Cricetulus griseus: one gene and its partners. The protein of the gene in region 6 purifies or fractionates together with the protein of the main gene of each other region. This does not show direct contact. Links are inferred from orthologs where the notes say so. Each region holds a gene or a part of one and is shown on either strand. Other genes may lie near its edges. The genes, in order: Vcp, Trim25, Ybx1, Stau1, Tardbp, G3bp1 and Mki67.

Evidence for each region.
Region 1: the proteins of G3bp1 (region 6) and Vcp purify together in Homo sapiens (affinity purification with mass spectrometry; 3 studies listed by BioGRID, with this or other methods). This does not show direct contact. The link is inferred for Cricetulus griseus from reciprocal best matches to the Homo sapiens genes G3BP1 and VCP.
Region 2: the proteins of G3bp1 (region 6) and Trim25 purify together in Homo sapiens (affinity purification with mass spectrometry; 4 studies listed by BioGRID and IntAct, with this or other methods). This does not show direct contact. The link is inferred for Cricetulus griseus from reciprocal best matches to the Homo sapiens genes G3BP1 and TRIM25.
Region 3: the proteins of G3bp1 (region 6) and Ybx1 purify together in Homo sapiens (affinity purification with mass spectrometry; 3 studies listed by BioGRID and IntAct, with this or other methods). This does not show direct contact. The link is inferred for Cricetulus griseus from reciprocal best matches to the Homo sapiens genes G3BP1 and YBX1.
Region 4: the proteins of G3bp1 (region 6) and Stau1 purify together in Homo sapiens (affinity purification with mass spectrometry; 3 studies listed by BioGRID and IntAct, with this or other methods). This does not show direct contact. The link is inferred for Cricetulus griseus from reciprocal best matches to the Homo sapiens genes G3BP1 and STAU1.
Region 5: the proteins of G3bp1 (region 6) and Tardbp purify together in Homo sapiens (affinity purification with mass spectrometry; 3 studies listed by BioGRID, with this or other methods). This does not show direct contact. The link is inferred for Cricetulus griseus from reciprocal best matches to the Homo sapiens genes G3BP1 and TARDBP.
Region 7: the proteins of G3bp1 (region 6) and Mki67 purify together in Homo sapiens (affinity purification with mass spectrometry; 3 studies listed by BioGRID and IntAct, with this or other methods). This does not show direct contact. The link is inferred for Cricetulus griseus from reciprocal best matches to the Homo sapiens genes G3BP1 and MKI67.

Annotation. Positions count from the first base shown.
Region 1 is NC_048595.1:100,536,905-100,540,891, reverse strand, and holds the start of Vcp (transitional endoplasmic reticulum ATPase), read right to left. Parts: upstream 2,801-3,987; 5' UTR 2,536-2,800; coding exon 2,519-2,535; intron 1-2,518. UniProt on the Homo sapiens protein: Necessary for the fragmentation of Golgi stacks during mitosis and for their reassembly after mitosis. Involved in the formation of the transitional endoplasmic reticulum (tER).
Region 2 is NC_048600.1:102,153,050-102,156,549, reverse strand, and holds part of Trim25 (E3 ubiquitin/ISG15 ligase TRIM25), read right to left. Parts: intron 1,552-3,500; coding exon 1,528-1,551; intron 1,207-1,527; coding exon 1,105-1,206; intron 1,019-1,104; coding exon 920-1,018; intron 441-919; coding exon 1-440.
Region 3 is NC_048595.1:32,872,798-32,877,011, reverse strand, and holds the start of Ybx1 (Y-box-binding protein 1), read right to left. Parts: upstream 2,801-4,214; 5' UTR 2,652-2,800; coding exon 2,492-2,651; intron 2,093-2,491; coding exon 2,029-2,092; intron 1-2,028. UniProt on the Homo sapiens protein: DNA- and RNA-binding protein involved in various processes, such as translational repression, RNA stabilization, mRNA splicing, DNA repair and transcription regulation.
Region 4 is NC_048599.1:12,481,749-12,485,248, reverse strand, and holds part of Stau1 (double-stranded RNA-binding protein Staufen homolog 1), read right to left. Parts: intron 3,180-3,500; coding exon 3,033-3,179; intron 2,071-3,032; coding exon 1,995-2,070; intron 1,846-1,994; coding exon 1,526-1,845; intron 1,025-1,525; coding exon 902-1,024; intron 438-901; coding exon 352-437; intron 1-351. UniProt on the Homo sapiens protein: Binds double-stranded RNA (regardless of the sequence) and tubulin.
Region 5 is NC_048595.1:7,784,997-7,787,735, forward strand, and holds part of Tardbp (TAR DNA-binding protein 43), read left to right. Parts: intron 1-455; coding exon 456-619; intron 620-1,033; coding exon 1,034-1,174; intron 1,175-2,530; coding exon 2,531-2,701; intron 2,702-2,739. UniProt on the Homo sapiens protein: RNA-binding protein that is involved in various steps of RNA biogenesis and processing.
Region 6 is NC_048600.1:69,666,131-69,669,630, reverse strand, and holds part of G3bp1 (ras GTPase-activating protein-binding protein 1), read right to left. Parts: intron 2,901-3,500; 5' UTR 2,883-2,900; coding exon 2,788-2,882; intron 1,640-2,787; coding exon 1,558-1,639; intron 1-1,557. UniProt on the Homo sapiens protein: Protein involved in various processes, such as stress granule formation and innate immunity. Plays an essential role in stress granule formation.
Region 7 is NC_048596.1:65,227,095-65,230,594, forward strand, and holds part of Mki67 (proliferation marker protein Ki-67), read left to right. Parts: intron 1-707; coding exon 708-863; intron 864-1,597; coding exon 1,598-3,500. UniProt on the Homo sapiens protein: Protein that associates with the surface of mitotic chromosomes and acts both as a chromosome repellent during early mitosis and chromosome attractant during late mitosis.

The DNA of each region.
Region 1 (3,987 bases), on a different chromosome or scaffold from region 6:
GAGGCTGCCCATCTTCTTATTTTCAGGACTGAACTGAAGATAATACTTCAAGTTATCATTTTGTATTTTAATCTCAAAACTTCACTTTAGAAGTGGGGCATGGTGATGAACACCTTTAATCCCAGCACTTGGCATTGGCTAGCCTAGTCTATAAAGTACCAGGACAGCCAGACTGTCATACAGAGAAACCCTGTCTGGACCTGTCTGGGAAAAGAAAGAGAGAGAGAGAGAGAGAGAGAGAGAGAGATTGATTGATTTCAGGACAACCTCCAATGTGACTATGAGTCCAGACCCTTGCTCTAGAGATGAGTGGTATGGCTGTTAAAAGACCTATAATTCAGCTACCCATAGAGATTAGAGCTGGTAACCTCTAACAGAGCTGAAAGCAACTGCAGCTTCTAAATGTTCTTTACGAAAATCTATCTGTGCATGACTCAGGTCCTTTCCAGAATTCAAAGACCACACAAGGGAACTTGGGAAAGTTCAGGTGAGAACCTAAAGGTAGAAACCACCTATGATGCCAGATTTCAGAAATTTTAATTTAAAAAAAAAAAAAAGGATCTTCCAGTCTCTTTGGCCTCAGTGGGCGAATGAAGCACCTAAAAGTTGTCAATCGAATATTCAGACAGGGATTCCGTGAAGGGACAACACCTAAACCCAAGAGGGCAGCTGTTGCAGCATCCAGTTCATCTTGAGGATTTTAGTCAGTCTTAAAAATAAAATGTTCTGAGCTGGGCGTTGGTGGCACATGCTTTAATCCCAGCACTGGGAGGCAGAGGCAGGCGGATCTCTGTGAGTTAGAGACCAGCCTGGTCTCCAGAGCGAGTGCCAGGATAGGCTCCAAAGCTACACAGAGAAACCCTGTCTCAAAAAACCAATAAATAAATAAATAAATAAATAAATAAATAAAATGTTCTGGTTTCTGGGGCATACAGTGATTTTCCTATAATCCCATTACTTTGGGGACAGGGGACAGAAACACCAGGAATTCAAAAACAGCCTTGACTACATGGCTGAGTTTGAGGCCAATCTGGTCTACACTGGGCAGTGGCAGAGCACAACTATAATCCCAGCACTTGGGAGGCAGAGACAGATGGATCTCAGAGTTCTAGGCCAGCCTGGTCTAAAGAGTGAGTTCCAAAACCACCAGGGCTACACAGAGAAACCCTGTCTCAAAAAAACCAGAAAGAAAGAAAGAGAGAGAGAGAGAGAGAGAGAGAGATCAAAGGTAAAATACCACAGAATACTTTTAAAGTATATTTTGTTGTTTTTTGAGGCAAGGTCTATGTAGCCCAGGAACTCCCATTGTAAAGACCAGGATAGCCTAGAACTTTCTGCCTTTAAGTGCTGGGATTAAAGATGTGCACCACCCAACACACCCTGGCTATTTAAAATATTAGTACTTTTAACTAAGCAACTGAGTGAATACTTCATTCCAAGGAAATGAAACTTAAAAACACCTAATCACCTCAAAACATCGACAGAAGATTTGTATAGTTTCCTAGGCTTGCTGCTTTTTGTTTTGTTTTCAGTATGGTAAACTCTAGTTTCTCAACTGAATGGGCTGAAATGACTAGGTTTTATTTGATGCTTTCCTTAAAAGTTGGGGCCCTAAAATCCTAAAGCCCAGACAATCTCTGATCGTTGCTGCTTGGATAAGTGTGCATATTTAAGAGTTATTTAAAAGTTAAAACAACTCTAACCTGCAATCTCTGAAAGTCAAAACACAGAAAGCAAAAACAAAACAAACTCAGATTCTAACTTCAGCACGTTAAAATAGAAAAACAGTTTTCTAACCACCCCCTGAACATAGCAAAAATAATAAAATAATAAAAATAATAGGTAAAGCTTCCTGGTATTTACAACAGGCCTAACATGGTGAAAAATTGCCATCTGAGAAAAGCACGACCTAACAGGCCCTTCACTACCCAGGATGCAAAAGATGCCAACCTCAGGCAAGGCCGTACGGGCTCCACCAAGGCCGACCTGGCTTCCCCCAGGTTGCTCGGCCCGGCCTTCCCCTGAGTCTCAGGGCTCCTGAGGCCTTCACGTGGCCCAAAGTCCACGCCCACTGGGCCCAGTCGAGGCCTCCGGCTTGCAGTGTTTTCTCTTCGCGGGCTTAGGGTCTTCCGCGTGTGGTCGGTGAAGTGGCCGGAGGGCATCCCAGAGCCACAGAGCTCCGTGCCGGCAGTGTGAACCCTAAGGCCTAAGTAGGCCGGGGCCGCCTTGCCGAGGGAGCTCGTCAGGCCAGCCGGGGCCTGCATGACACAGCACCATCTTGCCCAGGCTCAGACCCGGGCCCAGCGCGGGCCCGACCTAGGGGGCGCGCGGGTGCACAGCCCGGCCCGAGGCCCTCACTCGCCCCTTTCCTCTCCTTCCGTCCCTCTCCTCCCGGCCTAGACTCTCCTCAGACGCGGCCCTACCGGGCCTACCCAGCGCGGCGAGTCCCACGCGTGCGCGCCTCCGCCCAGCCGGCGGGCGGGCGCGGCGGGCGGCGGCCCTGCGCGCATACACTTACTCGGCTCCAGAGGCCATGGCGCGCGCCTGTCCCGGTCGGCGGCTGTGGCGGCCTGAGGGTAACGGCTATGAGAATGGCAGGCGACCGGCTAGGCCCGGGCTTGACTCACTCAGGCGGTGGATCAACAGCGGTGACAAACCCTCAGGCAGCCTCCCTCTCGCTTCCTCCCAGCGGCACCGGGGCGGCAGGCGGGCGGGAGACGCTAGCTCCTGATCCGCGAGGGGGTCAGCGGCAGCGACTAATCAAACGACGGCAGCAAACGCTTCGCTGAGACTGAGCCGAGAAGAGCCGAATCATCGGAAGGAAAGCTGCTCTCACCTCAACCAATCAGAGCCTGCCTTGGGACTCGTGCCCGCCTCTCCGTGCCTCTCCCCAGCAACCCGCGGACCACAACCAATCAGAAAATTCGTTTATGGCCTGGCCCCACCTCAAGGCTGCAACACGCCTAGTAACGCCACGTCAATTGGCCGCAGCACTACGCTTCCTCGACGGATTGGGATTCTTGACCAATCAGCAAAAGGAATAGGCCAGATTGTCTGGTAAAAGGAGAGCCTTTAATGCCTCCGAGGAGGCCTCTCCTACTTGGCTCCAGCTGATTGGCTCCTTAGTTTATAAGCTGCTGGAAGAACCTAACACAATGGCTTGAACCCTTATTAGTTTAGTCGGGTTGTAATGGCAACCCACGTAGTCGATTTCTCGCCAATCCTGGCGATCCTCTTATTCCACCACAATAACCCTTTAAAACACTGGCTCCAACGAAGGGCGTGGTGGATGGTCTAGGTCTGTAACCCTAGCAATTGGGAAGCAGAGGCAGGAGAATTATTAGTTGGAGATCAATTCAGGACCTTTTCTGAAAAACAAAACCGGGTTGGGCATAGTGGTGCAGATCTATAATTCTAGCGTCAAAGGAATATCTCAAAAATAAATTTTAAAAGCAGTGTAGTGGCACATGCTTTTAATTTCAACACTTCGAAGACAGCGGCAGGCTGACCTCTTGAGATTTAAATCAGGCTGGTCTATTAAAAAAAAATAATAATTGCAGCCAGTCAGGGCTACATAGTGAGACCCTGTATCAAAACTAAGTAAATAAAATTTTAAAAAAACCACACACACAAAAAAAAAAAAAAAAACAGCTGGGTATGGTGGTGTTCATCCTAGATGCCAGTACTCCACAGACTAAAAGCAGGAGGGTTGAGTTTGAAGCCAGCTAGTGCTACACAGCTAGACTAGGTCTACCAAAACCTAGTCACCCTTTCCCTGGGCCCTAGTTCTGAGTCAGCAGAACCCCAGCTCTTAATTCAGTCTATTGACTGATTTTTCAGTCTATTGACTAATCCCTCAGGTTTTACAATTTCCCGGAGTTTGAGAGTACATATTCTTTGCCACAGTGTATAAATACTATCTGTGGATGGAGAACACTCAGGCTCAAAGAGGTCAAGGACATCTGCAGAACACAGCAAATTCAGTGC
Region 2 (3,500 bases), about 32 Mb from region 6:
ATACATCAAATAGACCTTTTCAGTGACAGCAAAGAAGATGACAAAGCCATGGTCACAGTTGAGAAGCACACCAACTCGAGTGGCTTTGGTGGAGGGCAGGGTTTTCTCCACATTGTTGTGCCAGGCAGAGATCTTGTTGTTGAACCATTCCACACACCACGAGTTGGCATTACGGCCCAGACGGCTCTCCGGGCCCTGCCTATCCATGCTGCCGTAGCAAATGCCTACACCGCAGAAATTGTTCTTCTTCAGCTCAACCTCCCAGTAGTGAATGCCTTTCTTATAGCATTGTAGCCCCAGAACCTGAGAGCAGTAGGTGAATCTCTGGGGATGGGTACGGTAGTGCTGAAGTCCCTCAGCCACGGAGGCGGTGGTATAGTTGTCTGACAGAACCACTTTGTTGTGGGCAGTATTGTAGTCGAAGACGACTTTAACGTAATCTGAGAAAACACCCCCCGGGAATCAATGACAAGAGACCCAAGGTACTTTCACTTTTAAAGCCTTCCCCATCTATACATTTATTTTATCCACCCAGCTATTCACCTATCCATCCACATATCCACATACCCACCTACCCACTCACACTTCATCCATTCATCCATCCATTCACTCACCCACCCACTCATCTATCCATCTACCCGACCATATACACACCTACCCATTCATCCATTTACCTATCCACATACACCTATCCATCTACCCACCCACCCACCCACCCACCCATCCAACTAGCCATTCATCTCTCCAAACACCCACTCAGATACACGCATCATCTATTAACCCATCCAACTCCCCACTCACTGGTACACTGACCACCCATTCATCTGTCTATTCATCCAACTACCTGCCCACCCATCCATCTACCCATTTATCTGTATCTGCCCACCCACTCTTCCATCCACATAGTCAAGCTACTCACACTCCAGAAGCTCGGCCCTAGACTTGGCTAAGAAGTTTTCTAGCATCTTAGCTTTGAGTGCAGTAGAGTTTGGCTGCAAGGTGTTGGCTTTGGGTGCGGCTAGAAGAGGAAACAGAGAGAGGTATTCAAGACAAGCTTGGGACAAATGGCAGATATTTCTCTGGCACTTGGTCACAACAACTCACCATCAGGGTCAGTTGTTTTAAAATCCATTGACTGTCCAGGAGCTCCAAAGGTGGGAAGCTTGTTGAATGAGGAAGAGCTGGGAAAGGAGCCGGTAGCACCAGCTGAGAGCCAAGAGAAGACAAAGGTGAAACAGCAATATGACACAGAGGACTGGATGACCTCTCCCCCCTTCTAAGATGGCTGTCAACTTTCACAAACACATCTGACCAGCCAGGGCCACACAAGTGAGTCCAGATAAGGCTCTTACTCATGCACGGTGGGCCTCCCTTCCCTGCTCAAGCCTGCCTGCCTTCACAGCGTACATTTGTAAGAACAGGGCCATGGCAGAACCCTTGTTAAAGCAGTACAGCTGTTGCTCTCAACGTTAGCTCTAGACTCACACAAGTCTTGAGAACCAAGAGATACACAAATGTACAACTTACTTGGTTTCTTGGTCTTCTTTTCCTCTAAAAAAAGAGAGATTTTAGGATTAAGGAATTTTAAAGCATACACAAAAGACCATAGTAACATTCATCAATATGCATTTGACACATACAAACTAAGGAAGGCTAGCCTGCCTAACTTAAAATATAGGGGGTGGCGGACAAACACACATCTGCAAGGACAGGAACCCTGACCAGGGTCATGGGGTCATGGGGTCATGGGGTTATAGACTATTAGGAAATAGGAAGGAATTTCTAAGAAGTGTTTACGTTGGTTTGGGTAATGATAAGATGGAACCCATTTGTCAAAGACATATTTAACTATACATTTAGGGTCTGTGCATTTTGCTACAGATTAGAACTCTGCAAAAGGAAAAAAAAAAAACAAGCAAAAAAGAGGAGGTCAGAAAAAAATAGTCTTGGTTAAAATGTCACAATAGTGCTTAGAAAACATCCTGGCCGGGCGTTGGTGGCACACGCCTTTAATCCCAGTACTCCTTTAATCCCAGTACTTGGGAGGCAGAGGTAGGCAGATCTCTGTGAGTTCGAAGCCAGCCTGATCTCCAGAGCAAGTGCCAGGACAGCCTCCAAAGCTACACAGAGAAACCCTGTCTTGAAAAACAAAACAAAACAAAACAAAAACAAAACAACAACAACAACAAAAAACACATCCTGCCTTCCCCAGGGCTCTTCCAAGCACACCCTGTCACTAGGTGTTCTAGTCCACAGAGAGACCAATGCCCAACAGTGGTTTGCTAAAGACAACTCACACATTATATACAAGCAACAAGCAGTAAAGTGCACCTCTTACACCCCTGACAACACTAGCAGCGGGCATCTAGATGCCTTTTCAGTAGACCTCGGGGAAATAGTTACAGCTTGCTGGTTTAAAAGGGTTATAAAGAATTCTAACAATCAGTGTGTCCCATGGGAACCTCACTTGCTTTCATCCCACGGGCTCAACTGTCATTATTTTCCAAATGTGAGGAGCAAGGAGATTCCTACTATTCTTCTCCAGCCCAATGTCCACATTCCCAGTGACAGTGACACTATCCCCGATGGAGGAGGGGAACAGGGATAAAAATCTAAGGCTTGAGGTGTGGGGTGTAAAAGGTGTTCTTTTGCCAGGCGGTGGTGGCACATGCCTTTAATCTTGGGAGGCAGAGGCAGGTGGGTCTCTGTGAGTTCAAGACCAGTCTGGTCTAGAGAGCGAGTTTTTTTGTTTTTTTGTTTTTTTTTTTTCCTTTTTTTGAGACAGGGTCTCTCTGCATAGCCCAGGCTGTCCTGGAATTCCCTATGTAGACCACGATGGCTTCAAACTCACAGGTGTTGGAATTAAAGGCATGCAACCACCATGCCCTGGTTACTGCTTATTCTTTTTATAAATAAACCGATATACTGTACACGCGTAGAATCAAATTTTCACTGGAGGGGACAATTAGGAAAACATTGCCTATGGCTCAGTGGGAGAGGTCAATAGAGGAAAATAGTGAGAAACACAAGGCTCAGGAGATGGCTCACTGGGCAAAGGGCACTTGCTATGCAAGCATGAGAACACGAGTTCAGATCTTCAGACCCCAGATAATGCTAGATGGGGTAGCATGCATGTCTCCCAGAACTCTCATGGTAAGATGGCTTACGGACATAGGAGAACCCGGAAACTTTCAGACCAGTGAGTCTGGCTTATGCCATGGCAAACAAAACACCCTGTCTCAAACAAGGTGGAAGGTAATGACTGACAACCAAGATTGAATTCTGACTTTCACACATGCACCACGTGTCCACACTCACACACACACAAGCATAAACACACATACACGCACAAACTAAAGACAGGAAAGATTAAAAAAAAAAAAAAAAGAGGGAGAACCACTGCAACAGTGTGCATTAAAGCCAGTTGGGCAGAGAGCACATTTATTGACTAGGCTTGGAGTGTCAAGTGTTTCCTCAAACACATGACAGATTTGGTGACT
Region 3 (4,214 bases), on a different chromosome or scaffold from region 6:
AGGGCCTGGTGTTAGTGGCGCACGCCTTTAATCCCAGCACTGGGGAGGCAGAGGCAGAGGCAGGTGGATCTCTGAGTTTGAGGCCAGCTGGTTCCAGGACAGGCTCCAAAGCAACAGAGAAACCCTGTCTCAAAAAACAAACAATCCTAGAATATACAACTCAGAATTCACAGTGCATTCCAAATACCTATCTCCCATTTTACATTCTATACTGTTTAAGTAGGACAAACCTCTAGTTCACTGAAACCAAACCTCAACAGTTATTATCTCATTTAAAAACCAATGCGTCAATATAATGGTCTGCTTAGAAACAAGCACATTTTAAACAATTAAATCAGTAATTGGGGTTAAGATATTCTAACAAAGGATCATCATAAGCTAATTACATTTAAGTTGCCCAGAAAAATGATCAACTAAGCTACTAAGGACAGTCTATTGTAATCTACACAATTGCACAACATAGAACAGTATACAAATCTTGGAAAAAAACTGCTTAAAGGAAAGTGATAAGCCTAGCCAAACGCTAAAATTTATTAAATGCATACCAAAAAACCCCACAGCTAACCCAACTAGAAATGTGGCCAAAGAGGACTAGTTAACAGCACTGGGCTAAGGGTTCTAAAACTGTCCTTTGGAAGGTAGGGTATACAGACTAGTCTCAGCATCCTCTGGGACTGTTAGGATAGAAATCTCAACCAAAGCACCGACAATGACCAGTTTAAAGCCACCAGGTAACTAACCCTATACAAGCAGCAAAATATTATATTTCCCTCTTTGCTCACTAGTAACCCATGGGGGGGGGTAACATGGAAAATGTAGCATTCCTCAGGAAAGCGAACAGCCTACCACAGTAGAAAATCCTAGTCTGGAAAAACAAAATGTTTCCCTGTAATTGCTACTATAGAGAACAGACCATTAAGTGATTGTAATCGCTTCTGTTTGAGTGTTTCCACAACACGGCGTGGTTCAATGAACGGTTTTTCATCACTCCGTTATTTTAAAAGACTAGCTGCCAATTTGATAGTGTCCACTTCACAAGCACTCAGTCACTCTTAAGCGTCTTTCCCACCATCTACTTATTTAACGCCTTCTAAGCAAGCATGTAAGAGAGAAAATGCTGAAATGGCGCCAAGTCTCACAGCTGTACGGCCAGGATTGCTGCTGGCACTCGCGGTGCTCTACACCCATGCAACTGCACTAGCCTTGGCAGCCATCTTGAAAAAGATGCCGGGCTCACAAGGGAGCCCAGAGTGCAGCCACTGCACTCACCACCACCACCACCGGCTACAAACCATTCTAAACCATTCTCTGGATCTATGAAGATGTAGTTTGCAACTAGATTAAGGACTTAAGGCCACTCCAGTAAGCTACAGCCAAGCTTTCACAAAAATTGATTTGATCAGCCATGATTCCCGGACAAGGAAGTAGAAGAAATAAAAATTGAGGAAGAACCATTTTCTTCGGATGTATTATTTGTCGTTTTGGATAAATATGAATCGTCTTTGGCTATAGGAGTTCTATAGAAAATGTGCTCGAGGTTCTACAAGGAATGCATATTTGAGTCGACTAAACAAAGGCAACATAACCTTACAGTGCAGATAACATCTCAGGCACTTGACATGTCAAATCATGTTCCCCAAGAGGTTAACAAGGTGAAAAAAAAATCACCTGTATGTTAATTAGTGGGTCACATTCTTACATAGCAATTTCAACGAAGCAGGAAGGATGTCAAGGTTAAAAACGTGCTTAGCCTGGAGTTGCCTCAGTTTGATGCAAGGTAACTGTTAAGGCATGGTTCATGCGCCGCGCTTGCATAGACCTGCTTTGTGCCAAAGCTTTGAGGCTAGCTAGCTCAAGATTGGTATTCAACGGCAAAACAAAGCAAGCCTACAGACCCCACTAATCCCGTCACCCAAGAACAAACACCAGGTTTCCAACCCCTCTCCCTGTCAGGCCCGCGGTGGAACCGGCCCTTGAGATTACCCATGCAGGGAGGCGGGCCCGAGCTTTTCTACCCCGGCATCTCACCTGTTGATGAAACCGTATCCGTTCCTTACATTGAACCATTTTACTGTTCCCAAAACCTTCGTTGCTGGAAAACAAAGCACAACAAGGTCCAATCAGCAGCTGGCCCTGGAAGTCGGTCCAGGATCCGGCCGCAGGCCCGGGCCGCCGCCCTCACCGCACACGTGGGTGCGCTGGGCAGCGCGGGTCCGAGGTGGGTGTGCGCCCGGGAGGCGAGCACGTGAGGGCCGGGAAAAGCAGCCCGCGCCGCTCCGGTTGCGTAGGCGGCGGGGCGGGGATCCCGCGCACGAGGACCCGAGGCTGGTGGGCGCGGGGGAGGGGCGGCCGCGGCCGGAGCGGCGGCGGGAGCCCGGCGTGCGCGCGCGGCGGGCCTCGGGGGGGAGGGGCGGCCGCGCAGTCGGTGGCTCGGGGCCGCTCGCCTAACGGTCCGGCCCGCGGCCCACCCCCGGTCCCCTCTGGGGCTCACCGATGACCTTCTTGTCCCCGCCGGCGGGCGCCGCCGATGTGAGGCCGCCCGGGCCGCCACTACCCGCGCCGCTGCCCGTGGAGCCGGGCTTGGTGTCGGCGGCGCTGAGGGCGGCGGCGGGGGCGGCGGGCGGCTGCTGGGTCTCGGCCTCGCTGCTCATGGTTGCGGTGGTGGTGACTGGGGCCGGCGGCGACGGCTGCGGCTCCTCCCGGGGTGTGATGGTGACTAGGCCGGCGGCGGCGGTGGGGCTCTCAGGGCTCTCTGGGGTCCGCTCTCCGCTCCCGCTACCGATCGAACTAGCGAGAATGGCGGGACGGGCGGGATAAGCCCCGCGATAGGCCCGCCCTCATCCTCTTTTATTGGCCAGGATCATCGTCAATCCTACCACCTGACCGGGTCCCTAGCGCCTATTGGCTCGCGCTCCGCGTCTCTTGCGCGCTCATTGGGCCCTTTGGCGACTAATTCGGCCGACCCACAGCCGCTCCTGCCTTCGCCGCCATAGAGACCGGAACTAGAATGAGCTGCTCGGCCGTGAGCACCATAGAGTACCGGGAGGACGCGTAGAGGGAACGTGTCCGCACGGGGTTGCGCTCGTCGCGCACGTGGGCCGCGGTGGCTGGGCCTACCCGTGCTTCTAGAAGGGGCTCTCTCCCTGGACCGGGTGAGCGCCGCGGCCTCCTTAATGGCTCAGGCTTTTGGCGGTCCAGTCACCTTGGAGGGACCACGCAGGCGCTCCGGCTGCCACGAAATCAGTGTTTTCAGGGCGGGGGTGCTCCTTTACCGGGCGCACGAGGAATGTGTTTCATACTGGCCACAAATTGGATTTAATTTAGTGGATAAGTTAGACTCCCCCTTCCCCCCACACCAAGCAACAATGTTGACAAGGATTGCAATCCATGTTTTTATATCCTGTAAAATACAGGTTGTCTGGTGCTACTGAATCCCCCCGCCTATACCTTCATTCATTCTTTATTAGGCATCTACTATTGACGAGGCATTTAAATAGTTTGCCAGTAAGTTTCTGCCTTCTGATGGAGGCACAAACTTACACGCCTAACACTTCATAGTTGGGTGACCACAGCCTTTGGGGAAGGAAGGAAGTGTTGGGTGGTGACTTTTCAGGCAAAGATAGGTTTGTGCAAAGGCCTAGAGGGCCTCAAGGAAAATGCAAATAAAGGGATTCAGTAGGAGTAAAAAGAAATATGGGTTGTAGAGGTGGGCAGGGTCAACTAGGTGTATTTAATGTGAGATTGATTCATCCTGAGGTCACAAGTGGGGAGGGTAATTTTTAGAGTTTTAAGTAGGGAGTCTCATCTTAAAAAGAAAAGGCTGCTGCTTGGGGAATGGGCTGCAGAAAGAGGAAGGATGGAAGCAGGGAAAGCAATTAAAGGGACCCAAGGTGGCTCTGTGTAAAGGCACTTGAGACCAAACCTGAAGATCCTAGTTCCTATATGAGCACTGTGGCATTCATCTCCCACCCCCCCACCCCCCAGTAAATAAATACATGTAATAGCAATTACAAGAAGAAAGTTAGTGTAGTAACCCTTATCCCTTGCCGGCTAAAGGCCTCCCTTTGTCAGTTCTGGAAAATCTGATCCTGAAGCAAGTTAGGCTTCTCTGCCATTACTTTTTGCTTAAAGCAGAGACAGCAATAAATAAATAAATAAATAAATAAATAAATAAATAAATAAAATTCCTACTCTTGTTTTATGTGCATTGGGGT
Region 4 (3,500 bases), on a different chromosome or scaffold from region 6:
CAGGAGAGGCTGCAGTTCCTTCAGTGGTCAAGAGCACTGCTATTCTTCCAGTGAGCTGGGTTCAGTTCCTAGAACCCACATGGCAAGACAAAGTGGGACAGAGGAGAGTGAGTGGGGTGGGCACTGAGTGAGGGCAAGATGTACTACCATGTATCATTAAAACAACATCAACCTTTTGCTTATTCTCAGGTCTACATCAAGGAGGGTACTGCCTAGAAAACATGGGGCTCTCCAGGGGTTCAAACCAGATTGCAGCTGCTTCCCCAGAGTTGACCTGCTGCTCACATTCACTCAGGGCACTCCTGCCTTCCACGGACGGACACCACACTGACCCTGCAAATGCTCACTTACGCTGACACTGGTCCATTTCCTGTTCTTGGCATCTCTGTGCTCTGTTGGTCCAACTCAGACAGCAACTTTAAAATGTTGAGTGCAGCCTAGAAGGGTGGAAGGAAGGAATAGTCAGCCAGAGAACAAGCCAGACTCTCCTGGAAAGAGATATCAAAAAATGGATAGCAATGTCTTAAAACTTTTTTTCCCCTCCCAATGTAATGTTTGAATCACCTACCCCGCCCCCAACCAGCAAGATGGTTTCTGTGTAGCCCTGGCTACCTTAGAACTCATTCTGACCCCTTTCCCCCCTAACTCCGAGATGTCTGCTCTAGCCAGTGACAAATCTCCTGTATGCAGACTCCTCTCCTTTAGGGTTTAACGTCACCTGAACAGACTTGGTGGGGGGGGGGGGCAACTTTCTACAGCTCCCAGAATAGAGGCTGAAGAGTTTAGACTGTTTGAAAGGTTACAGGAGAACGTGTCCCTCTTCCTGAGACCACCAACAGTCTGAACAAGGCAATGTGCCAGGCTCAGCCAGCTTCTCTCCGCAATCTTGGGGCCCACATACCATATCGTGACAGGACTCCACATCCTTGCCAATGCCGTGGCTAACAAGGGGTGGCTGTGAGGAGCAGTTGATGAGAGACACACACTCGTTCTTGTTGTTCTTGGGGAAGTCTTTGTATTCAACCTAAGAGAGAAGAGCACACACCCAGCCATGTGAACCCCAGCCCAGAATCCTCCAGGGTCCTACTTAGGTTTTAAATGCTGCTTCCTAAAGAAAAGTGTCTTCTCTCCCTAGAGACCTGTCATGCTTCTTACTCCATAATCCCCCTCCACATACACTTGCCCTGGTGCGTGCGTGCATGTGTGTAAAGCACGTGGCATGCCGGGTATGCAGGTAAAAGGACAACTTGCTGCAGTTAGTTTTCTTTCCACCAACAATCCAATTCCAGACTGTCGGGTTTGGTGACAATGCACCTTTATGCAGTGAGCCACCTTGTCACACCCCAGACCTGCCCCTGCCTCTCTCACTTCCTGCACTGAGCCACACTTTACACTCAGACCATATGATCTCACTTTTCCTGGTTTCTGTAGTACTGGGGGACAGAACCTGGGTTCTTCATATAGAAGATGCTGTAAAGGTCATTCTCTGAGGCCCAGAGATGACCACAGAAAGGCAAACAGTTACCTGGAATCCCTGGGCTCTGGAAAGGTAGTACAGCTGCTCAGAGGGTCTTGTGCGAGGTCCATGGGGTACGTGTCCTGAAGAGATGTTACTCTTTAAAATGGTCTCGGCTGTGGGCGAGGTGCCCCCGTACAACAACTCTCGAGCTATCATGGCAGTTACCGTGGCCTTGGCAGGGTTCGGAGCTGCCCTGGTGAAATCTTTGGTGTGGTGTCCTTGACTAACCCCAACAGCCTGGGCAACCTCTGGCACCATGGGGAGGATCCCGGCTGGCAGCTGCTGATGGCTCAGATAAGGCATCCTGAACTCATCCTCTTTATGACCTGTGAGGGACATACAGGTCACCACAGCCACCCCAACACCCAAGAAGCTACAGTGCCCTCTTCACCACCTCAGCACATACAAGCTCCTGTGCTTCAGTCACATAATAACCATGCAAACCCAGACACGGGATCAAGAGGGTCACACTTACTAGTTGCATTTTCATCCCCAGGGCTAGGTTCAAAAAACGTTACTTTCCTTCCGTCTCCTGGTTTCTTTACTGGGGTCTTAAGAAAGAAAAATGGCAGTGAGCATGGACAAGCGCTGGGGTCTGTGTGCATTTTATCGCCACCCATACACCACACAAGCTCTCATGCCTGCCCATGCTGGCATTTACATGGAGCAGATCATGAATGCAGAGCTGGCTCTGTGCCAAGGACCAGGAAGTGCTGGTTTAGAAGTGCTCAGCCCAGTGGGAGAATAGATAGGGTCTGCACTGGTGCTGAGGGGTGCCTTACATTACCTAGAACTAACATCCAGAAATGCTTCCACAAAGAACACAGAGGCATTTAGTGCATGACCGTCAGACACAAGGCAAGGGGGTTTTCAAATGGGAAATCTGAAAGCCAAATCCAGGTTTATGCAACTCCATATGGAATGTCTGCGTCCCAGGTAGTGACTTTGCAGGCACAGTGGGAGCTGTTTCTAGTCATGAAATGCAGAACTCAGAAGAGGCTCAGTCCTACTTTAGTGAACCCCAAGGACAACGGCTGGAGCCAGCAATAGTGGCTGATGTTCTCCTGGAGTCTTGTTGACCACTCTGCAGAGTAATATTCAACTAAGAATCACAGGAGAATTCTCAATCTGAACTATATAGATTTGGCCTTTTGTTAACAATGCTATCTTGTCCCAGAGAAGCCAAAGCCAGATCCATAGGAGCAATATGTCATGCAAACCCCTTTGAAGCACAGATGGTAGCCATACGTATTCATTCCAATCCCAACTACCCATCAGGAGAGAACAGGACATCCTGCAGAAATGCACATCCAGCCCACAGCGACACTAAACAGACTTAACCAAACCACTCGTGGGACACGGTGAACTGGACAGGAAACTTCCCTCCTGCAAACACTATCAAGTGGACGAACCCCAGGGGGCAGGCTGCTTACTGCAGGGAAGATGAAGCCTTGCCCCAGGCTTGCCCATGCAGGGAGCTAGGCCACCTGGCAGTGAGAGTCCCAGCAGTCACCTTCTCTTCTGATTTGAGTGCTGGCTTGGCAGGCTGCGCCTGGGGAACTTTGAACCCCAAGATCTCCAGCATGTTCTCAGCAGCATTGCGCTTGGCCACCTTCTTATTGGTACCCGCTCCTTCTGCAGTGTGGTTCCCAACCTTTACCTGCAGAAAACAACAAAGACCTGTGGCTGAACCTTCTAAGACACAACAGAAACTGGTTGCTGTGCTGCCAAAAGGCCCCGGGGATGACTTTGCTAAACAGGATGGAAAAGGTGTTTTGTGCAGCCAATTCTGAAACTATTGCTGTGACGGCCACATTCAAGTTAGAAACGTTTAAAATCTACAATAAAGAATACTGTATGGAAAATGTGTGCCTCGATCCTTTCCATCAACATATTTATAAAGACAGGGATCTAACCATAGTGATGCCTCCCTCCCATACCACTCTTCTGAGGGCTGGCTGTTGGACAAATTCCAGCATAC
Region 5 (2,739 bases), on a different chromosome or scaffold from region 6:
CAAGGTGTCTGATACCCTCGATCAGTCAGATAAATTCCATGCCACAAAATTAAAAGGAAGTAAAATTGCATTGATTTAGATACAGGTTTTGAGGAGGACATGCAGTTGATTTTATAATCCTACATTATTGAAATCCTGGGCCAGGGAGATAGCTGATTTGGTAAAGACACTTGCAGAGCAAGACAGACATCCTGTCTACCTCTAGAACACACTTAAAAGGGCAATTGCAGTGGTTTGCAGCCTAACAGGGCAGAAGTCCAGAAACGGCTTACAAATGTGTATACAGATCAATTTTCAATAAGATAATATAAAACTAGAATGGGGTGGTCATTCGAGACGGGGTATAACCCTGGCTGTCCTGGAACTAGCTTGCAGACCAGACTGGCCTCGAACTCACAGAGCTCCACCTATCTTTAAAGAACTGCTAAATATGGGTTTATGCTCGCTTTGTTTAGATAACAAAAGGAAAATGGATGAGACAGATGCTTCCTCGGCCGTGAAAGTGAAAAGAGCAGTTCAGAAAACATCTGATCTAATAGTGTTGGGTCTCCCTTGGAAAACAACAGAACAAGATCTTAAAGACTATTTCAGTACTTTTGGAGAGGTTCTTATGGTTCAGGTAAACTTGATTCTGGGTAACAGCTTTCCTTTTGTTTATTCTGTATATATGGGTCATAACAGTATCGATCCTTATTAGGAAGTAACACCAAAAATTTTATGATTGGAGAGTCACCATAACAGTGGGAACTGTATTAAAGGGTGAAAACAATAGGAAAGTTGAAAATTACTGGTTTAAAGGAACTAGGTCATATTAGAACTATTATATTTGTGCTCATTGTAAAACATTGTTAAGTTCTGTCGTGAGTCATTCATTCCCTGTTAATGATGCAATTCCCTATTGATTCTTGCCTTGGACTAACGTTATTAAACATTAAACTTTAATGTGCTTTTTCGTTCAGTTGAAGCCATTCAAGTTTCTATGTGAACTCTGATTTGGTATATATGTGGTATTAGAGTAAATTTCTTTTCTTAGGTCAAGAAAGATCTTAAAACTGGTCATTCAAAGGGGTTTGGCTTTGTTCGATTTACGGAATATGAAACCCAAGTGAAAGTGATGTCACAGCGACATATGATAGATGGGCGATGGTGTGACTGTAAACTCCCCAATTCTAAGGTATTTTGCTCTTTTCCTGTATGCTTGGGTGATTTTTTTTCTTTTAAAAGACCTTAAATTAAGTGCATTTGGAAACATTGACGGCAGGAAAAGTTTTCCAAGGCAGGTGTCTCTGTAGCCTTGGATGGCCTCAAACTCGGTATCCACCTACCTGCCTCTGCTTTCCAGGTGCTGAGATTAAAGGTGTGGGCTACTACCACTCAGCTTAATCTTAGGGAGTTTTGTTTTTTCTTCTGAGTTTTCGAGACAGGGTTTCTCTATAGCTTTGGAGGCTGTCCTGGAACTCACTCTGTAGACCAGGCTGGAACTCAGAGAGATGTGAGTACCCTGATTAAACCTAGTAGTGTCGAGTGCTTGACCACTGAGCCTATAACCCCAGCCCAAACTTACGCCAAACAAGCAAATGAGACTTTAATTATTTGGAACATTTCTTTTGGGGTCAAAGTATACTTTGTTTTTCGGGACAGGATTTCTCTGTATTGCTTTGGAGGTTGTCCTGGAACTTGCTCAGTAGGCCAGGGTGGCCTCAAACTCAACAGTGATCCGCCTGCCTCTGTCTCCTGAGTGCTAGGATTAAAGGTGTGTGCTACCAATGCCTGGCGGGAACACACATCTTTATTTTGAGACAGGGTTCTCTGCATGGTCCTAGCTATCACTCTGTACACCAGACTGGCCTCAAGCTCAACACAGATCAGCCTGCCTCTGCCTTCTACGTGCTGGGGTCCTGTGTTTAACAGCTAGGTGTGGTAAGATATACTTGTAATCCCACCCCTGGAGGCGGGAGGCAGGCTAATTCATGGAGTTTGCCTGGCTACCAGTCTAGTTAGCCAAATACGAGTTCAGTGAGACCCAGCCTCATAAGGAAGGTGGAGAATGACTAAGAAAGATGGCTAGCATCAACCTCTATCGCAAATGTGACATAATGGTCTCTTGGTATTACATTCCTGTAATTCTAGCACATGGGAGGTAGTAACAGGATCAGGAGTTCCAGATTGTCCTCACATATCAAGCTTAAGGCCATCCTTAAAACGGGAGAGCCTGTTTTAGAAATCCGAAGGAAATGAGGAAGAAAAGTTAATTAGTAATTGTTTTTGGAGAAGGACTGGTTCAGTTTTCAGCACCCATATGGCAACACACAACACTATAATTCCGAGTGACCCAATCCCTTCTTCAGACCTTTAAGGGCACCAGACATGTACTTGGTTCAAGATTACAAGGGCCCACACCTTTTAATCTCAGTACTCAGGCACAGGCCATCCAGAGATAGACAGTGAGACCTTGTCTCAAAAAGCAAAGGGAGGGGGGCAGTGACAGTATGCCTTTATGTATTTTTTTTCTACTCTTCCTTTTGACCAGCAAAGCCCAGATGAGCCTTTGAGAAGCAGAAAGGTGTTTGTTGGGCGTTGTACAGAAGACATGACTGCTGAAGAGCTTCAGCAGTTCTTCTGCCAGTATGGAGAAGTGGTAGATGTCTTCATTCCCAAACCATTCAGGGCTTTTGCCTTTGTTACCTTTGCAGATGATAAGGTATTTTTCTTCTTCATTTGTATCGGGGCTGGGAATTT
Region 6 (3,500 bases):
AATGGAGGCAAGAGTCAATCCCCAGGAACTCAGCAGTTCCAAAACTAAGACAGTAGCAGCTACCAGCACCAAATCAGAGCCTGGCATCTCCCTGTGTTCTCTCAGATCAGGTCCTTGACACTCAGCCCTACCTCCTATTCCCACAAGCTCCTTGAGCAGAGTCTCAAAGCAATCAAGAGCAACAAAACAAGCACACTGAAGGGCAAAAACTCATTCCACGGCTTCAGTGAGCTTGACAGTAGCTAGGGCTGCCTAGGAGGCATGCCTGGAGTCTCTAGATTAGGTCAATTATGATGTGAAGATCCATCCTAACCGTGGACACCACCATTCCACAGGCTAGGGCCCTGTGTTGTATAAAAGAGGATGGGAACTAAGTACCAGTACTTACCTCGTGCCCTTGCTACAGCCCCACTCTGATGGACCAACCAACACCCTTGAACCATGAGCCTCAACAGTCCTTCCTGCCTAAATGCTTCTATTGGGTGTTTTGCCTCAACAGTGAGAACAGTACTCAACAAAACCAGAGACTTCTATAGGACTGTAATTAACACCTAGTTTACACCTAGCTAAAAATAAATCATAAATAATAATAAATAAATAATCCCAGGCTGGTGAGGCCTAATGATCCACATGTGATCTCTAGGGCAGAAACAGAGCTCCTGAAAAGGTGCCCTTTGACCTCCGTATGCATGTATGCCATGGCAGTCACACTCACCCAAAAATCAATAAATGCAAACATCTCAGAGCAGGAGATGGCTCCATGGCTAAGATCTCTTACTGCTCTTAGAGGGACCTATGCTCACTTCCCTGAACCCACATGGCAGCTCAATCACCTGCAACTCCAGTTCCCAGGGATCCAAGCACTCTCCCAGATTCCTCAGGCCCTAGGCATGCACATGGTACACAGACATGTATGTTGGCAAAACACTCATACACACAAAACAAAAATATAGCCTTAAAAAAAAATTAAAAAGTAAAAATTTCCCAATACAACACAGATAAAGGGAATGTATACACTGCTGTTTATATAATATAAACTGTCTGTGTGTGTGTGTGCTCTGGTTCCAGTGATCACAGCTCAGCCCCTTAAAAAAATAACTGTCCTGCTATATATATGTACAATCCAAGCACTTGAGAAGCTGAGGCAGGATATTCATAGCAAGCTCCTGGACAGCCAAAAACATGTATCAAAATTATGTGTCAAAAAACAAAATACCGGGCGTAGTAGCACATGCCTCTAATCCCAGCACTTGGGAAGCAGAAGCAGGAGGATCTCAGTGAGTTCAAAGCCAGCCTGGTCTACAGCATGAGTTCCAGGACAGCCAGAGCTGCTACACAGAGAAACCCTGTCTTGAAAAACCAAAATAAGATATCAAATAGCTGTCTTGAATGAACACCTTTTAAGTTTAGAAATGACATTGCTGTATAGAAGCCAGCTAACACAGAAATGGCATTTCAGCAAACCAAGGAATTAAAGAGGAGCCACCCTCCCGAGGAACTAACTGCCTGGTAGGCAAGAAGCTACCTCCTCTTCTACTACTGGGCCATGGCACCCACCTTCTGCCCATAGACCGCATCCGCTGGCTTCCCGTTGGAATCCAAGCCCCCGTGGGCATAGGAAGAGTTCTTTCCATAAAATCTGTACAAGAGAAGGCAATTTACTTCTCATCTTCAAGGACACGCAGATGAGGTACTTAGTGTTCAGGCTTGATCCCTATCCACCTCACTGGCAGGCTCACAGCAGGGCCTCTATGTTTGTGCATGATAAATCCATTGTACACACACACACACCCAGAGTCAGCACCAGTCTCAGTCAAAGAGGCATGTGTGTGGTTTTCAAGTCCCGACTTCCAGGTTTCAGGGTAGGATGATCATGTTGGGAAGGAGCTTGGAGTTTGTCAGCAAAGCCAGGCACTTAAAATCAAAGTCAAGTTCCTGCTTCAGCTGAGGACAGCTGCCCTGTCATGAACCAAAGAGTCAGTGCCTTCCCACCTGAGAAGGCAGTGGGCAGTTGTCCTGTGTGCGGGAAGTATGAACTTTTCATCCCTTTATTGCTCTCTCTCTCTCTCTCTCTCTCTCTCTCTCTCTCTCTCTCTCTCTCTCTCTCTCCCCCCTAAACACTCAGATACCCTGTACTCTGTTTTCATTAAAAGGACAGAGATGTACAACAAATGCCAACTAAAGATCACCGAAGAAATCTGAGGTCAGCCCAATAAGCCCTAAAATAAGTGAGCCCACATTATTGCTATGTTATTTTCTAGCAACCTTGCTACCCTCTTTTTAAGAGAAGGCTTCTCCTATGTAGCTCTGCCTGGAACTCACTATGTAGACCAGACTGGACTCAAACTCAGAGATTCACCTGCCTCTGTATCCTGAGTGCTGAGATTAAAGGCGTGTGCCAATGTAGACATGCTGCTACTTTTCACATGTTTAAGGGAACTCATAGCTCATAGCCTCTCATCTCTCCACCAGGCCCCTCTCCACTACACCCTCAATGGGAATGAAAATGCAGGAAAAGGAAATCGTAGGCTGTAACTGCATTAGCAAGATAGGTGTGCATGCAGCATCTTCCAGCTCCAGCTTGGGTTTGTGCTAAGTCCACATACTTTTCTACACTACAACACTAAAATCCCAGCACTCAGGAGGCATAGGCAGGCAGACCTCTGAATCCCAGGCCGGGGATACAGATAGGACCTTATGCTCTTCCTTTCTAAACCACTACCTATAGCTGCTTATGTGAAGGACCATCCCACAACACCTCTCCTAGGCAAGTGAGAGAGAACACACCTGTGCAGCATGTCCGGGGCCTGGTTCAGCAGGGTGTAGTACTGTCGCACAAACTCCCGCCCGACCAGCAGGGGACTAGGCTTCTCCATAACCATCGCTTTGGTGGATTCAACCTGTAAAACAATACCAAAACGTGTCAGTCAACAATCAGAAGTGCTTGAAAAGGACTGACTCACTGTGCTAACTATACAGCATCGCTTCAGCATTCCTAAGAGTCTCCCTGCTACACTCTAGCTATCCTGGAACTCACTGTGTAGACCAGGATGGCATTGAACTCAGATTTGCCTGCCTCACCCTTCCAAATGCAACTGGTAAAGATTACAACCACACCTAGTAATCTTAAAGTTTAAAAAGGAATAAACAGGCACTGGAGAGATGGCTCAGCAGTAATGGCTCCTCTTCTAGAGGACCTGGGTTCAATTCCCAGCACCCACATAGCAGCTCACAGCTATCTGTAACTCCTCTCCCAGGGGATCTGATTCCCCATATAGACATACTTGCAGGCAAAACACCAATTTATATAAAATAAAATAAATAAATTTAAAAAGAAAAAAAAAGGAGTAAATATAGCCAGGCATTGGTAGCACACACCTTTAATCCCAGGACTCAGGAGGCAGAGGCAAGTAGATCCCTGTGAGTTTGAAGCCAGCCTGGTCCACAGAGCTTGTTCCAGGACAGGCTCCAAAGCAATACAGAAAACCCTGGCTCAAAAA
Region 7 (3,500 bases), on a different chromosome or scaffold from region 6:
AGGCTATGGGATTTGCTGAATGGACTAGTGTGGATGGGCACTTCAGTGATTCCCAGACCCATCCATTCTGCAGTGAGTACCAGCTCAACTTCTCATTCTGTGGTGTCCAAAAGACAGGAGCATGGCACACAAGCTTTTCAGGAAGCTTCAATCTTTTATATGGAGTTATGTCACTACTGCCTTTTGGTTTTAAAGTGAATGTGGATGGCACTTAGATTATAATGTGTGTGTGTGTTCTTTCTTACTTGATAGCACTGAAAATGGTCAATGCTCTGTCAATATTCTACATTGTGGGCACACATTATTTGTACATAGGATTTAGATCCTGAGAAACCTAGGATTTCTTGAGCACAGAACAAGGCCCTTAGGTTGTGGATTCCTGGCAGATGTCCCCTGAGAACAGGTGCCCATGTCCAGCTTTTGTCCTTGTGTCAGGACTTACTTGTGGGAACTAATGTAGAAGACTACTGAGGTCAACCAAATCACTTGCTTTGCTCTCCTTTTCCAGAGGAGAGGATTAGAGAAATGATATATTTAGCTTCTCATCCGCCCCCCAACCCATCCATTTTTAAATAAGCATGTTAACAAAATCACCATTTTAATGAGATGATGCAGACCTAGAATCTGAGAGTTTCTCTGTCATATAGCTTGTCCTGTGTGGGAAATGGGATAATGTAAGCCATGTTTCCAATATTTTCCTTTATCAGGACTAACTGAAATGTTCAAGACTCCAGTGAAGGAGAATCAGCAGCAGATGAATGACAAGGCCTCCATTCTTTCAAATTCGGGGAATTTGCCCGAAAAACAGTTTGAAGTAACTAATTCAGAAAACAAACCTCTGCCTAGCACCTCAGAGATTTTAGGTTGGTGTATTTCTCTATTCCACTGTTATATTTTGAATGGGGACTTAAAGATGGCTTTTTTCTTTATGGACAATATTGTATTCCTCTGTACAATAGCTTGCCCTGGTGAAATGCCATTCCTCTAGCAGGCTTTGCAGTTTTGCTGACATTGGTCATTAACCTAGTTTGGAAGGAAGAACTATTCACTCAGTTAATAAGTTTAAATGATGTCTATATATGCTTTTAACATCTTTGTTATAAGAGAATGGAAGCACAAACAATACACTTGGCCTGTCATATATAAATTACACATATTAAGAATTATTGCAAGGATAGAAATGCAACTCACTTGGTAGAGTGCTATATTGCAAAAACTTGGTGTGGTGATGCCTGCCTATAATCCCAATCTTTGGAATCAGAAGGTCATTGCTGATTACATATAGAGTTTGATAATGGGCCCTAAACATACACAGTAGAACCTGTTACTTCATTAGTGAATCGAGATAATAAATAACTGTTTTTGATGTTTCAGAGTAAAAATTGCCTGTCTTCAGGTCCTTGTCACATGTCATGGCAGCCTTTAAAAGATGCTTCTTAAGGACCTGCTCTATCATCAAATAACTTGAGATCATGTAGTAGCTTATTATAAGAAACTAAATTATTGATTCTTATACACCTCCTAAAGATAAAATACTAAGTTGACGACCTTAGATGGTAAAAATGTTTATTGTATAAATATATTTTGTTACCTATAGGAGAAAATGTGCTCTCCAGTACTCAGAATGCAGCAAAGGAACCATCTAATAAATATTTTGCAAGTCCTACCTTAAGGCGGAGGAGCATCAAAAATGGAAACACAGTACAAACTCCTAAGAATGACCATGACATTGCTCATGTAGAAAAGAAGACTCCAGGTTCTGTGACAGAGCCTCTGAAGACAGTTTCCAGTGTGAACAAGTTAAGAAGGTCTAGAGAGCTTAGACATACACTTGTAGAAAGTATGAATGAAAACACAGAAGCAGGCCTTGCCAAGGGCATCACAGGAAGACACTTAAGGAAGACATCACTGCAAGGACAAGAAGTAGATCAACAGATGCAGGACAGTGAAAACACTTCACAAAGATTCAAGGAAATTATTGAATTAAAAGAAGTTACAGAAAAAACATCAGCTAAGAGATCATGTGCCAGGGAGAAGAAGCCAACAAAAGACTCAATGGGAAGTCAGATGACCACCCAAACAGCAGCCTGTGCTGAGGAACTATTTAATCAAGAAAAGGGAACCATAGAAACACCAGAGGAATCCATGCGCATGCAAAACATACCAATGAGTGATGGTCGAAGAGATGCAAAAGAGAAAGTGGACCTAGTATATGAAACCAAAGTGAAGTGCTGGTCAAGGACCCCTGACAAAAAGGCACAACCTCTAGAAGGCCCAGCTGGTCTCAAGGAGCCTTTTGAAACACCAAGCTGCAGAGAAAAACCCATGGGTGATGATAAAACCAAAGTCTTTTGCAAATCCCCACAACCCACACCAGAGAATACCAAAACAAGCACAAAACCATGGCCCAGCACATCTGGAAGGAGAGTAGACATGAAAGAAGAACACTCTGCACTAAATTTTGTGGACGTGTCAGGAGGAACTAGGTATACCCCCAAAGTTCAAGAGCACAGGGGCATCAAAGCTTTGAAGGAATCTGAAAATCAAATGCTGGACTTGACTGTAACTGGTAGCAAGAAGCCGGTAAGAAAAGTTAAGGAAAAGACGCAACCCCTGGAAAACCTAGATGGCTTCCAGGAACTCTCTCTATCACCAGTCCCTGCTGACAAAATCACAAAAATGCCCAACAAATCTCCATGTGTAGAACGTATCAGAACCCCAGCAAGCAGAAAGAGTCTGTCCAAGACAGGTGTTGGTAAGGTGGAAGTGACAGAAGAGCTTTCAACCTCTGGGAAACGAACAGAGTCACCAGGCAGAGCCACACGCACACCCACAGCACCAGCGCTGGAAGAGAGCGACAGCACAGACATTATGCAAACTCCAAAGCAGAAACTGGTCTTCACAGGGAATTCAACAGGACGCAAGAGAAGGTCACAGGCACCTAAAAATGGGGCTCAACCCCTAGAAGACCTGGATGGCTTCCAAGAACTCTTCCAAACTCCAGTTGGTACCAGGGATCCAGTGACTGTTAGGGAAACTACAAAGTTGTCTTTGGAATCTGCACAAGCAGAACCAGTCAGAACTCCAGCAAGCAGAAAGAGTCTGTCCAAGACAGGTGTTGGTAAGGTGGAAGTGACAGAAGAGCTTTCAACCTCTGGGAAACGAACAAAGTCACCAGGCAGAGCCACACGCACACCCACAGCACCAGCGCTGGAAGAGAGCAATAGCACAGACATTATGGAAACTCCAAAGCAGAAACTGGACTTCACAACAAATTCAACAGGACGCAAGAGAAGGTCACAGGCACCTAAGAACAGGGTTCAATCTCTAGAAGACCTGGATGGCTTCCAAGAACTCTTCCAAACTCCAGTTGGTACCAGGGATCCAGTGACTGTTAGGGAAACTACAAAGTTGTCTTTGGAATCTGCACAAGCAGAACCAGTCAGAACTCCAGCAAGCAGAAAGAGTCTGTCCAAGACAGGTGTTGGTAAGGTGGAAGT